Rhinolophus ferrumequinum: one gene and its partner. The protein of the gene in region 1 purifies or fractionates together with the protein of each later gene. This does not show direct contact. Links are inferred from orthologs where the notes say so. Each region holds a gene or a part of one and is shown on either strand. Other genes may lie near its edges.

What was found. Proteins that work in one complex are often made in the same cells at the same time.
Region 2: the proteins of RAD18 (region 1) and SHPRH purify together in Homo sapiens (affinity purification with western blotting; 3 studies listed by BioGRID and IntAct, with this or other methods). This does not show direct contact. The link is inferred for Rhinolophus ferrumequinum from reciprocal best matches to the Homo sapiens genes RAD18 and SHPRH.

What each region holds. Positions count from the first base shown.
Region 1 is NC_046300.1:44,744,846-44,752,887, forward strand, and holds the start of RAD18 (E3 ubiquitin-protein ligase RAD18), read left to right. Parts: upstream 1-4,966; 5' UTR 4,967-5,048; coding exon 5,049-5,099; intron 5,100-8,042. UniProt on the Homo sapiens protein: E3 ubiquitin-protein ligase involved in postreplication repair of UV-damaged DNA. Postreplication repair functions in gap-filling of a daughter strand on replication of damaged DNA.
Region 2 is NC_046286.1:90,089,568-90,096,544, reverse strand, and holds the start of SHPRH (E3 ubiquitin-protein ligase SHPRH), read left to right. Parts: upstream 1-3,910; 5' UTR 3,911-4,133; intron 4,134-6,977. UniProt on the Homo sapiens protein: E3 ubiquitin-protein ligase involved in DNA repair.

The DNA.
Region 1 (8,042 bases):
GGTTAGAAGGTTCCCAAGAGCACCAAGAGAGAGGGCAAGCTCCAGTGTACCGGCACACTTCAAGGCTCTGTTTGTATCACCTTTATTAATGTTGCATCGGCCAAAGCAAGTCACATGACTAAGCCCAGATTCAAGGAGTGCAGAAATAGATCCACCTCTTGATGAAAGGAGTCAGATCATAAGAGATGTGGATATAGGAAGGGGAAGAATTTGCAACTGTAATACATATAGGCATCCATTCCCTCTTTTACTATATACATAACTCCAATGTTCATTGGGCATCCACCCCATCCCCAAACTCAGACCTAGACAATCTGAGGCACAGTGATTGGTTCAAGGATGTGCATGTGACCCAAATCTGGCCAATGAGATTCAGCCCTGGTCCTTTTGCTGGGGACTGTTGGAAAGGAGGTACTTTTTGTCTGCTGAAGCAGATGTACTAGTAGAATGTAGACCTTGCTCTTCTGGAGGCCATGTGTGTCATCACGTGGCAGAAAGTCTGCTTGAGCATGAAGCCAGCACTGAGGAAAGCAGATATAGGGCATTAAGAAAGACGGATTGAGAGGAAGGAAAAGAGACTAATCTAATGACACCCGGACCAAGCCACAATATAAACTTCTGGACTTTTCAGTTACATGAGCTAATACATTTCCGTTTTTTGATTAGGCCATTTTGACTTGGCTCTCTAACTCAACACTTGTAACCAAAAGAATCCTGAAACAGACAGCTTCCTCCCTTAAAAGTTTTTCCTCTTTCATCTCAAAGCTCTTCCCATCTGTGGACCTTTATTTGGATGGATATTCTTTGTCCTGTTTACTGTTTGTCACCCTGCCTGGGCATATAGTAAATTCTCAGTAAACACTTGTTAAAAGCATCAGTAGGAGGGGTGAGGACCCCTCCGAAGAAGAGCCTGTGGTGACAGGCACGTAACCAGGCTCAAGGAGAAGCCCCCAGAGGTGGTGGTCTAACAGGCAGGTAGAGCAGGTAATGGACACAGTCTGTGAATTTAAACTAGGCCTCGCTGGCCCGGAGGCTGGGGCTCCAAGGAGGAGGGACTGGTGAGAACAAGGCAGGGTCCAAGCCTAGGAGGACTCAGGATGGGACCTGGTATAGGGATAAAGTAAGGTCTTACTGTGGAGTCCATAGCAAGCATGGGGCCCCAGCACTTCACTTCCTCCCGACTGTAACCAGTTGTCACTGTCCCATGATTGGTACTTCTGCTCTTTCTCCACTGAAACCCTTTCTTCACCCAGCAGCTGGAGTGACACTTTCAAAATGTAAATCAGATCATGTCACCTCCCTGCCTAAAACCCTCCAAGAGCTTCCCCCCGTGCTTATAGCAACATAATAACAATGACAGCTGACACTTGCACTGTGCTTGTTAGGTGCCAGACATGGTTCTAGGCACTTCCTTAATAACTCACTTAATTCTCAAGTATTATCACCCCCATTTTACAGAAGAGAAAATTGAGGTACTGAGAGATTCAATAACTTGTCAGAGTTAACATGGATTAAAATCCAAACTCTTTATCAAGGCCTGGAACTCTCTACCCCTAGGTCTTTGCATGGCTGCCTCTATCTTATCAGTTGGGTCCTAGCACAAATGTCACCTTCTCAGGGAGGGCTTCTCAGATCATCCAATTTATAATGTCTTCCCACTCTCTATTATATCATCCCCTTTTGTTTTCACATCACTTACCACTGTACTAAATTATTTCTTCATTTTCTTACAAAATGACTTGTTTCTGTCCAGTCCTCATTGTCCCCTCAGGATGTCAGCTCCTTGCGAACCAAGACTCTCTTGTTCACCTTTGTATTCCAAACACCTGGCATAGGTGGATAGCACCTCAGTGAACATTTGTTAAAATGGACGGAGGAGAAGAGGAAGGGAGGAAAAAAGGGATAAGGCTTGAGCCTCCCTCCCATGACTAGAATGAGGATGGGTCCTCAAGGAAGAAAGAATGGAGGACAGAGAGGAAGAGAGACCCTGGAAAGGAACTCAGGGCCTTGGGACTCCTCAAAGATGCAGCCAGGCCAGGCCCCCCACTCAGGTGGGAGAATGTTTCCCTGATTAGGGTTGTCAGACTTCGCAAATAAAACCAAAGGATGCTCAGTTAAATTTGAATTTCAGATAAACAATGAATAGTTTTTAATATAAGTATGTCGTGTGCAATATTTGGGATAACTTACGAGTATATTAAAAAATTACTGGCTATTTATCTGAAACTCAAATTTCCTGGGCATTTTGTTTGTTGTCTGGCAGCCCTATCCCAGATCCTCACTTTGTCCTAAGTGCCACGAGAGATTCCACTGAGTACTAGCCTGCTTTTTTTTAATATGGAACATTTTGTTTTGCTTCTGGATAAGGAAGTACATTCTCTTTATTGGATCTAACAGGAGAATATCCGTGGAAACAGCAGCTTGTTAGAGGGGGTGGAGAAATACCCCCGGGGAAGGCAGGACAGATGCTTGTCCTGACTCGAGGTGGCCCTTCAGACCTGCTTGTGTTTTGTGACTTTGCTTCCTGGGCCCAGAGGTGGGCTTGAGTGAGTGCTGCTGAAAAGAGCAGGAAGAGAATTGCTCAGTCTGGGAGGAAAAGATTTATGGGAATGTGGGCCTTTTCTGGTGATTCACTCATTCATTCAGTCTCTGAGCAGCTGGTGGCAGGAACTCAGAGACGAATAGCCCTGAGTGCTGCCATGGAAGCTCTCCAGACTCGGGGGGATGGCTGTGGACTGCAGGACCAATAAGTGATGCCTGCTTCTGAATCTGTCTTCAGAATGGGAAGAGCGTGTTTCTTTCTGTCATGTCTCTACTTCATTCCCTACTCTTTTTTTCTTTTTTCATTTCTCTTGTCTCACCTTTCAGTCCTTAGTCAACTTAAACCTAATTACCTTGTAACCAACTAGTCCCATAAAGGAACCATTGCTGGTGCACTCAGGTAGGGGACCTGGTCTTCTTCTCAATTCCTTTGCCATCCAACTCAGCCTGGAATTATTTGCACGCCCTTCTCTGATTGGCTGATACAAACCTCCGGCAGCCTCCACCCTTTCCTGCCACTCCTTACCTGCTTGTTGAAGCCCCAATAGGTCCACTATCCTGAGATCCTCAGATCTCTGCACTGCAGCTTTGTCTGCTTAGTTATTCCTTGATAAAGTGTCAATGGGTGGTCCCTTCTAGTGGACTTCAGCACTGACAAGCAGTGTGGTCTTGAATGAATTCCTTTGCCTCTCTGAGACTCAGTTTCCACATCTATAAAATGGGAATAATTCTCATGATTAAGTCCTTATGAGAATATCTGTAGTGGGTAATATGGACTCTTAAGCCAGATGCCCAAGTTCAAATCCTTTTTCTTTCACTTACCAGCAGCGTGCCCTGACCAAGTTTCCTGTTTATTTCCCTTTTCTCATATGGTTGGAGTGAGTCTAAAATAAGTCAATATGTGTAAAAATCACCTAAAACAGTACTTTGCATACAAGTGCCTAATAAATGTCAGCTATTATTGTAATGGATATTAAAGTTCTTTGTCTAAATACTATGTTATGATTATTGCCCAATGAGTATTAGGAAAAAGTCAGTTGAGTACATCTCTGGCTCAGGGGCCAGAGGTTCCTTAGGAAGAGGGCCCAAAAGAGTGAAGCCTTAACTTCTCTGAGCCTCAGTGTCTTCGTCTGTAAAATGGCAATAATAACCTTACCTCTGCCTACTTTACAGGTTAGCTCGAGTGCTTGACCAGTGGTCACTTAGAAAACTATTTGTTGAATGAATGAATGCATGGACCATGTGGGGCAGCAGTGGCAAGCTGCAGGGGTCTGCACCAAGCAATATAACTGTGAAGACTTGCTGCCCATGAGGCCTGCTGCAATGGAGTCCCACCTAAGGCAGTGGATGAGTGCTGAGCTGAGTAGATAGGCTGGGTGGCATGCTGGTCAGCACAGGTACTCTTATACCTGCTTGGTGAACGTGTACCTGTATTGATACAGCCTGTTTAGAAACTCACATAATGCTAGCAATAACAGTTTTAAATGAGCAAATCGACCTAGTAGTTCTATTTACAAGAAATCACCAGATATCCTGGCTCAAGTGTGCCAAGATTTATATAAATAGTATGTTTATTGCCGCTCTTTGCAAGAGTAAAAAATTGGAAACAACCTAAAGGTTTCCTTCATACGAGAGTAGATAAATAAATTGTGGTACCTTTACATTATGGGCTACATGGCTGTTAAAACGAATGAGGTAAAGCTATATGTAGTAACATGGAAAGGTCTCAAGATGTATGGTTAAGTAAAAAAAAAACAGAAAAATTCAAGTTGACAGAGCTATACATTGAATATAACACTTGCAGGGGAAAAAATCCATTTCTATGTATCTGCATAGAAAATATTTGGAAGGCTACACAAAGTTAAGGCAATAAAGAAAAGACTAACTTTATAATTTTAATTTGATAAATGAAAGCGCTCCCGTTTAAAAAGTCCAGAGGCTCTATAATCTGGTCAATGAACTGTGCGACTCAAGGAAACAACTCACTTTTTTGAGCCAAAGCTTCCTTTTGTGTAAACTGACAATGGTACTTCCTACCTCCCGGTACTGTGATGGGGTTAGATGAAATAATACTAGATACAAAAACCCTTTTCAAAGTCAGGGGTTCAGAGACAGATAATTACAGCAATCAGGGAGGGCAACACAAAGAAGGAGGCATTAGCCTAGACCTTGAAAGATCTGGCAAGATCTGGATTTGGTTTGTGTCCTGGCTGTCTTTCCCCAACATTCAACATCCATTTATTAGGGGTCTGGTACAAAACCTGATGTGGACTTTTTAACCATTTACTTCCTGCCGTGGAAGGCAAAGCAGAAGTCCGGCGCGTGCGCAGTACTAGAGCATCGTTGGCTGCGCTCCTCCCTCGTACTACAACTCCCGGCAGACTCCGCGCAGGTTTCGGGCGCGTCGCGGGCTGCTGTCGTAGCGTGGTAGCGCGGGGAATTTCGAGTGGGACTGGAGTGCGGGAGGCTAGTGGGTGGTGGACCCCCCATCCTCCTTAGGGGAGACCATGGACTCACTAGTCGAGCCTCGGTGGCCTCCAGGTCTGGCAGTCATGAAGGTGAGTGCTTCGGGGAGGTTGGGGGCGCCCGGGTGTCATCGGGAGGCCAGTCCCGCCTTGAGGATGAGAAAGGAAGAGGCGGGAGAGGCGAGCTGGGCCTGGGTAACCCGGTTCTGCTCTGCCACTTACCAGCCGCATGGCTCAGGGCCTTAGTTTCCTCCCCGAGAAGGGACGGGGACAGGCCTCGGTCCCTTAGGGTGAGCTGAAGTTGGCTGTCTTATGGAACCGGGTATCCTGCAGTTAAGTCACAACAACAATGACCTCGAGAAAAGCAGTTACTTTAAACAGTGAAAACGACAGTGACAGCCCTTTCTGAGGACTTACTACTACATGCCAAGCATTATGCCAACTCTTTCAGTACATTAGTTGAGAATTTCTGAAAGTGACCCCCGACCTGATTTTGGGTGAACCTTGCATCAAAAAACATTTATTTAATCACCTAGTGAAGCAGGTAATCTTCACATCCTATTGTTACCCTCTAATTACACCCTCTAATTACACCCTCTAATTACCCTCAAGAAGCCTAGTGCTGGTTTGCCCTAACTCCTTCCCAATGAGTCCTAACTCCTAACAGTTGTGCACGTCTCTCTTTTAAACAAAGGGACCAGGACTCAGGCGCAGCACCAGCCTTTCATTTCATTGAATTATTTCTCTTATATAACATTGATTTTTGTGGCTGCTTGGCATTTTGTGGCGGCAAGGCATTTTAGTTTCCATTTACAGTAGTGGTGAGCCCAGGATTCCTGCTGTATTTGGTCAAGAACAAATACACTTTGCTGTGCTAGTTAAGAGTCAATTGCTTGGTGTTTCTCCTTGCTCTGTGATCACTTTCATTTCAAGTTCTCATCCTGTTCTAAAGTTTCGTACACTTGGGGATTATGGCATGTGTCCCACTGATTTATAAGGCTGTCTCTGAGGATTAAGTGAAGAGACTTGGGGGAGGTTAACTAAGTTTGAGACTTTATTCTTCCGTCATCATCAGTGTTATCTACTGTTTTGGGGCCCTTGAGATACAGCCCCACGGTGAAAAGCTGACATTGGGAGGATCTAAGAAAGATGTGGTTTTGAGGTTGTGGTGGCCCTGGCACCGAGGTGAGCATAGATTTGAGTTCTGATGATCCTGGGTTAAATCTGGTCTCTGCCTCTTCCTTAGCTGTGATCTTGAGTCAGTTACTTAATCTCTGAGCATGAATTTCCTCAACTATAAACTGGAGACAAAAATAAACAGTTTATAGGGTTGGTTAAATGAATTGATGTGTGTGGCTAGGGATCCTGTCTGTCTTACTCACTGCGTAACACAGTGTGTGGCACATAGTGGGTGCTCAAAAATTATTTCCTAATTGATTAAAGGTATCTGGAAGGTAGTAAGCATTCAATTAACATATCTTATTAACACTTAGCGTGTGTTAACTGTTTAAACCCCCTTTTTATTTGTTGTGAGGATTGAATGGGATAAAGGAAGTGAGAGCTGTGTAACTTGTAAAGCTACCTGTCTGTAGACTTAAGCAGATTTTATATATTCCCACAACTTCCACTGCGTTCTCTGGAGGCAGGTTCCTTGTCTTTGGCTTTGATACCTCATCACAGCACCGAATTGAGGGTTCAGCACCAGAGAGTATTCAGTGATGGAGTTGATTGAGCCCGTATTAGAATCATGAAATACTAAGGTTGGGAAACCAGCCCCCCTCCAGTCTTTTAATCCCTTTTACATTGTATTTGCCAGTTTGTCATCTAGCTTTTGCTTGAAGTGTGCCAAGGACAAAGAATTAGCTGCTCCCAGAAGTAGCTCTGTTGGAAGTTCTTTCTTATATTGAATAGAAATCTGACTCCAAATCCATGGTTCCTAACAGGATCCATGAAAAGACTTTGGTATCTAGATTATTTATAAAATTTTTGTTTATATGTATGCTTTTCTAAGGAGAGAGTCCATAGTTTTCATCCATTTTTCAAAGGGATCTGTGACCCAAAAGCTTAAGAACCTTTGCTCTAATTATTGGCTTTTTACCCATTCCCTACTTCCCCGTTCCACTTTCTCTAAGTTAAAGAAATCTTGCGGCATCCACTTGACCACTCTCTATTTGGGGTTAGATGCATGTGACGTGTATGCTACTGTCTTGGAATGGCATGATGGGAAATTTGTGCGAGAGTGTTATAGCTCATCTGATGCGGTGACACCTTCCGCGCCACCTTTCGCGCGTCTTGCTCAGCAGATCTGTCAGAACCACTCCTCCCCCAGAAGAGGATGGTTATATAGAAGAAAGTACAATAGACTCGATGCCAGGGCTCTGGCTTCCAGTCCTGCCTTTGCTTTTAATTGATTTTCAACACAGCGCTTTAGCTTTTTGTGTCAGTGGTAACTTATATTCCAAAATAATGGAAGATTTTGGCATTTTAATGTTTATTTCCCTGGTTTAACCATAACAGAAATTTCTAGGTTTAACAGGTTATAAATGTCTGTGTATATAGTAGAAAAAAATTAAAATTCAGGGTAAGGTAAAGGAGTAAGTGAAAGTTACCCATCATCCTACCACCCAGAGATGACCACTGTTTAATATTTTCTCTAATTTTCCTTCAGTTTTTCTTCTGTGGACTCATGTGCACACATACCCAACAATGGATATATGCATTTAAAATTTGAGATTACTTTGGAGTCAACATCTTGGATTTGACCCAATCCCTTTTAGCTCTATAGTCTTCGTCTATAAAACTGGGATACAGATGCTATAGACGTCATAAGATTGTTCCAGAGATTAAACTACATCGTTCTGTTATTATCTGTGGTTGTAGATTTGTTCTCTCTTTTTAAAGTTTTCATTAAAATATGAACATTTTCTCATGGCGTTAATTATTCTTTGAAAGCATGTTCTTTTTTAATGGCTACATAATATTTCATCGTATGGACTATTAGTGACATTAGTCTTTTGTTTGTTTGTTTGTATTTTT
Region 2 (6,977 bases), on another chromosome or scaffold:
TATTTACAAATGTTATATCCCTTTATTGGATTGATCCCTTTATCTTTATGTAATGTTCTTCTTTGTCTCTTATTACAATCTTTGTTTTAAAGTCTATATTGTCTGATATAAGTATAGCTACCTCAGCTGTCTTTTGGTTTCCGTTAGCATAGAATATCTTTTTCCATCCCTTCACTTTCAGGCTGTGTGTTTCTTTACATCTGAAGTGAGTCTCTGTTAGGCAGCATACAAATGGGTGTTGTTTTTTTAATCCATTCAGCCACTCTACATCTTTTAATAGGAGAATTTAGTGCAGTTACATTTAAAGTTATTATTGATATATATGTACTTATTGTTATTTTGTTAATTGTTTTCTGGCATTTTGTAGTTCCTCTCTATTTCTTCTTTTGTTCTCTTCCTTTGTGATTGGATGACTTTCTTTAGCTTCATGCTTAGATGCCTTTCTCTTTATCTTTATGTATCTACTGTAGGTTTCTGCTTTGTGGTTAGCAGCAGGCTTACAAATAACAATTTATATCTATAACAATCTATTGCAAGTATTGACAAAAACTTAAGTTTGATTGCATTCTAAAGCTCTACATTTTTCTCTCCCCGACACATTTTATGTTTTTGATGTCACATCTTACATTGTTTTATCGTGTATCCCTTAACTAATTATTGTAGTTACAGTCCTTTATCTGATTTGTCTTTTGCAAATATTTTCTCCCAGTCTGTGGTTTGTCTCCTCTTTTGATATTATAGTTTTCAGAGCAGAAGATTTCAATTTCAATGATGTCGAGCTTATCAATTATTTCTTTCATGGATCATGGCTTTGATGTTGTATCTAAAACATTATCACCATATACAAGGTCATATAGATTTTCTCCTATGTTGTCCTCTAGGAGTTTAATAGTTTTACATTTTATATTAGGTCTGTAATCCATTTTAAGTTAATTTCTCTAAGAGTAGTTTTGTTATTTAGAAGGTATGAAATGGGTTTCCAGGATTGGAGCCCCAGCTTATAACATTGTTGCTATAGAAAATAAGGGTTTGATTTATATGAGCTTGCTTTATATGAGCTTGCTTTTTAATCAATTAGGTCATAAACTGGAGATCATCTGCTCGAGTGGTTCCCAAATATCTATCTTTAAATTTGTTTCATTAGAGTTACCTGGGATGGTTGGATAGTTTGGTTTGTTTTTAACAAGATAAATCTCAGGAGCTAATAGTCGAGATGGGGCTGTTATGGCCTATGTACACAATTGATCATTATCTGGTACTACTGCATAATATGTAAGGTATGTAAGCATTTAAGTTTATTTAAGGGCCTAAAGAGGAATTCAGAAACTTAACAGGTTTTAGGGGTGGCCAGTTAGCTCAGTTGGTTAGAGCGTGGTGCTAATAACACCAAGGTTGGCGGTTTGATCTCCGCATGGGCCACTGTGAACTGTGTGCCCTCCTTAAAAAAAAAAAAAAAAGTAGAAACTTAACAGGGTTTAAAGAAAGTGGAACTGAGATCTAATTTCGCCATTGTCCTAAGACTTGACCTAAACAATACACCAAGGCTGATACCTGAACATGGAGCTGCCTTTCTAGTGGATGGAAGCTTTGGGAAGGTTCTTTATTCTCTGGCAATCATCATTGTATTCTATTGTTGTATGACTAAGCTTCCTTGAGATTTTAGACTCATTCTCAAAGTGTTACATCACTGTTTTTGTACTTTAAAATGACACATGATAGAGATCCTTAAAATATTCAAAAAAACATTTTACTTGTATTTTTCTCAAAACTGCAGAATAAATATTACTTAAGTCATAAGCATCAGGTGACTCATCTACAAATTCCTATTCCTTAATACAGAAGCCATACTGACAAAATTAGTTGGAAAACAATGTCAGTAGAAAAAGTAATATTTGGGAATGGAGGCAGGGGAGGGTGGGGAGGAGATCCATGATACAGATTATGTTACCTTCATTGAGAAACACTGCATATAATCTCACATCTTTCTTTACCCAACAGACTCAGCTTCAATTTTATCCTTGTTTGTACCTAATTTACAAGGATTGCTTTATTAACATCCAAAACAAACACTTAGAAAGAAATGGTGAACTCCCTTCTCCTTATGTCATAAATTCATGTTCGATGCAACATTCTGGGTAGAGATTACAAATTTTGCTTTGCAAATTATGAGATGCAGAAGGGACACAGATTGAGTTTTCAGTTTGCAGGCTAAGCTTGCAGCAGGGGAGACAGAACAAACTATAGACTTTGAAACAAGGAACCACACAAGGAAGCAAGTGGTCTGACTGCCATTACATTTGCAATTCTAAGAAGAATCAGCTGAACTCTATCGACACTGAGTCATTCACTGATTGGTTTATATGCAATCAATTAACTCCTACTTGTGGAATACTATTAGATCATTAGCATCCAATAGGTGGATGAACTCAGAGTTGTCAGGGTGAACAGGTATTTCACAGATGGGTGCTTCCAGGGAGCTAAGGTGCAAAAATGAACAATGTTTCCTAAAATTAGCTCTGGTGATTTTAAGATTGAAAAACGTTACTCCATAGGGAAGTTTTTCAAAGACTATATTGGGCACTTTGCAAATACAGGATTGAACATTCCACTGGGAAATTCAAGAGGACGAATTTTGTTTAATTGTAACAGCTGAATGATAGTGTACAGAATTCCATCTCTGTAGTTGAAATTACATCTCCAAACACAACTGGATCTGTAGTTTAACATTTTGCACGGAATAACAATAATTATATCTAAAGATTAATTACCCCAATCAAGGTGAACAAAGATGAAATGATGCTGTACTTAATTTTTTAAATATTTCTGCCTGGCACCAGCTGGACTCAGTGCAACTGTGAGCTTAAATCTCTATTCCAATGGTGAGAAGTGACAAACTATCAAAGATAACCTTTTACAGCACAATATACGTTTAAATACTGAGTTTCAATTACACTTCCAAAATAAAGGCTCCATTATGTCTTGTACTTAGTAAAATTATCAGTTCTCCATGGCAGAGGAACTCTGTTTGCCCACGGCTCCAGCAATGAACGTTACTTTTTCAACTTCCCTCGTGAAGCCGTGGATAAGGTAACTAATTTCCATCGAATTTTATAGGGTTTAGTTTGTGTAAATGGCTTCTTTCAGACTACTATCTTAGAGGTCTATGATGAAGTTCTGTGCAAAGTAGGGTATGGGCTGTCTCTAGAATGTCTCCGCCAACTACAACGGATGTTCTCTTAGGCAAAAACCTACTTCTGTGCTTCTGTGTGATTACACAAGCCAAGACGCCCCTCCACAGCATAAGGCTGAGTCCTCAGGAGGTAGTCGTTAATCACTGAGTGACCGCTGTTTCCTGGGGATTATTTTACAGGCTCTTGGCCCTGAAGCCTGTCCGAGTTATCCCAAAGTTAACTAAGCATCAACCTACTACCTCCATGAGAAAAAGGATACCTCTCAGTGAAGACAAAAAAGACAACGTATTTGAAGGCCACCTTCAGTATAATACATGTAGTTTTGTTCTCAACTTAAAAAATTTACTATTTCCCTGGAAAGTCTTTTTAAAATAATTTTTTTGAGGAAGACAAGCTTCACCCGTACTAATGAATGGCTGCTTTCTAGAAGCAAGAAAAGCCGTGCGTTCGCAGAATTTTCTTCTGCCTTTTTATTAAGGCCACAAACGAAACCCATCACTCCTGCACGGGAACCCCGCCCCTTCAGCGGGGAAGCCGCCTGTATTTAATATCTGCTTAGAGCCCGCCTCCTCTTTAGAGGTTCCAGCCAATCCTGTAGTCTCTAAAGCCGTGGACAGAGCTATCGCGAGATTCCAACTGCATCCACTCGTGGCCTTTAACCGTGTGGACTTGCGTAGAAGAGGCTCTTGAAGCCACCGCCGGAGAAAGGGGGCGGGGCAACTCGACGTGCGCGTTCACCTTGACCCCACGCTCCAGAGCGCGCCCTGCAGCTAGGAGCTGAGGTTTCTGGGTCCCCCGGGAACCCCAACACAAACCAGCGTAAAGCGCGCGAGCCCACCTCAGGTGGATATTCGGTGGGTGGCGACTGCGTGCCCGGGACCTGCGGGAGCATTAGAGGGCCTTGGTGCGGAGACGCTCAAGAGGCTTGGAGAACTAGTCTAGGTAGGCGCTCGGGTGATGGAGGGTCAGGGGTCAGAGGTCGGGTATGGGAGACAACTCCGGACCGAGACTGAGGTCTCAGGGAAGGAGGACTTGGTTGTTCTGGGGCCCGGGAATCTAAAGGGCTGCGAGTGAGCCGCAGCACAAGTCTCCCCGACCCTTCCCCATCCCAGACGGGCGGGCCCTCGGACTGCCACGGCTCCTCCGGGAGAAGGTGGGGTCGTGGGAAAGGAGGACGTGCTTCTCCCCGGGGGCTGGGCCGGCGATGTTTTGTTGGAGCGTCGGAGAGGCTATTGTCGTGCTCCTCGGCCTCGCGGTAGCTTGTTTGCCCGGCCTGTTGGGAGCGATCCGTCGCTGACAGCTCTGCTCTGACTTCTGGAACCGCTTTTGGGTCGTTTCAGAAGAAAATTGAGTGGGTATCACCATTCGCAGCAGATAACGCCCCTGCAAGCTGGAAATGGGCAGCTTCCTAGTTTGGTGCGCGAGGTTGTAATGCAGTAAAAGGGGAGGCCGAGGCTTCTAAGTTAGTCTGAAAGTTCTCAGTTACCTTTGGAGTCAGATGAATTACGTTTGCATTCAAAACCACCCTTGCACGTTTTGACTCCATGGTGGTGGCTAGGTTTATGAACGAACGTGTGTTATCTGATGATTGACGGTCACCGTCAGATACACAATATCATTAAATCATGACTATTAAGCTTGTAGCCCTTAAGCTTGTGTCTTTTTTCTAAGTGATTTGACATTAGGCACGGGGTAGAAATACTAGATGTTTTGTGTTTTCCAACTTGTTTTTAAATTAACTTGAGGCTATGACTGAACAAAATAAAATAATTTTAAGTCATTTCTGTTGGGTGATAGCAAGAATGGTGAACTTCCCATGAATAGAAATGATCCAGGAGCTCTGTATTGTCACCAAAAAGACTAGTTGGTTTATGATCTGTAACTGCTGGAAACAGCAAATGTGAGCAGTAGTGCGATAAGTGTGCCTTTATTACTTAGCCTGTACTTCCTAGAGCTTTGCAGGACCAGTTAGTAAGTTGGCAGTTGAAAATAAAATAGTTTACTTTTGAAAGATTATGTAATATATATATATTTTAAAAGTATAAAAAGTATACACATTTTAAGAAAGGAAAACTATTAAAATTGTAATATTTAATATATACTGATGACAAAAGATGAATACAAGTCATGTGTGACTTCTGCAATTACAAGAGGTGCTCAAAGTGGTTACCATCAGCATCCAGACACTTCTGTTGACGGCGAACTGTTTGAGCAATGTTGACCAAAGTGTCCACTTGTATACATTTTTGGCATCCCTGATATATATGTATGTATGTATGTATGTATTTATATATTTTTTTCCTTTTTGCTCAGCTGTACTTTTTGCTCAGCCTAAAAGAACTGTACTTTTAGAATTATTAAAATAAATCTTTTATAAAGAGTTTAGGTTAGAAAGATTTAGAGGAAATAGAATTTGCTGGTGAAGAAGCTTATGAGGGCATGTTTCAAGTTTTTGTGACTAACGTATTTTAGGGTTCAACAGATGAAAATACTCTCCTGCTGGAGTTACCACAATGGAAAAGGATTGTGGTACTGCTAGATCATTGAAAGTTTTATGTAATGATTGGGCTTCGCTTACATAGGGCTCACGTTGGATGTATACATGTAAATGTATACTCCTGTTGCTTTTAATAGCCCAAGCCCGAGTCTACCATGGATTTGTAATTCAGGGTTTGTGCTTTTAATAAGGAGATTATGGTTTGGTGGGGGAAAAAACCTAAATTTAAGTTTAATTGAAAATCATTTGTTGTGTTATCTTATTAACTTTACCATTTTGTGTTTATTTTTCTAGCAATCTGTCTTTGTTTTCTATTAAAGGTACAGGTCAGTCAGTTTTGTCTGTCTCATTCTGGGCCAGAAATAATAAAGAATAGTTTCACGTTACCTGCAGTCTTCTAGAATGTGGTTAAGAGACTCTTGTCCAAAAAGAAATGTGAGTAAAGTACTCTTAGGTCTTTAAACAAAGGGAGGATATTCACGGAGTTAGAGTCTTTGTTTCACCTTATTTTGTATATCATTTCCATCCTGGCACTGACTTGGCATTGGAGGTACAGTGTTGAATAGGATACTATTCCTGCCCAGCCTTCAAGTGTTTCATTAGTCAAACGGTTAAGTAGCAGTTGAGATCAAGGAGGAGAAGCCCTGAACTAAGCAGGCCTGGTTATGGAGGGTTTGGGGACGACGAGCAGGACAGTAACAGTCAGCAAAGTGTGAAAGAGCATTCCAAGCAAAAGGCTTTTCACATTGAAATGCAGGATGGTCCACATGTGGTCCATACAGACCACTGCATATAATTACATTTTACACAGACACTGATAGTTAAGAGGGAGGAAGAAGTAGAGCCATCAAATGTGGGATTTATATGGTATGAAGAAAACTGGGAGAAGGATTTGGTATGTGATTCGAGATATACCAGTAGCTGCCAATTAACATGGTTATAAGTAGCTTTGATGAAATAATATCCTTTTTTTGGTTCAAGAAATTATCCCTGGAGAGAGATCCGTTAGGAACAGAGTCAACCAAAATGAGTTTTGTTTTTTTTTTTGGTTGGTTGGTTTTGTTTTGTTTTGTTTTTTTGAGTAACGAGTGGTAGTACTTGGGCATCGGGATTTTTAAAAGTTCCCACAGGTGATTCTAATGTGCAGTCAAGTTTGAGATACACTGATCTATCGCCTCCCATCCTGCCACATAAAGTTTGGTTATTGTAAAACATCGTTTATAGGATCATCAAATGACAATAATAGCAATTACCACCTACTGAATATATGCTAAATTTCTGTTACTGTG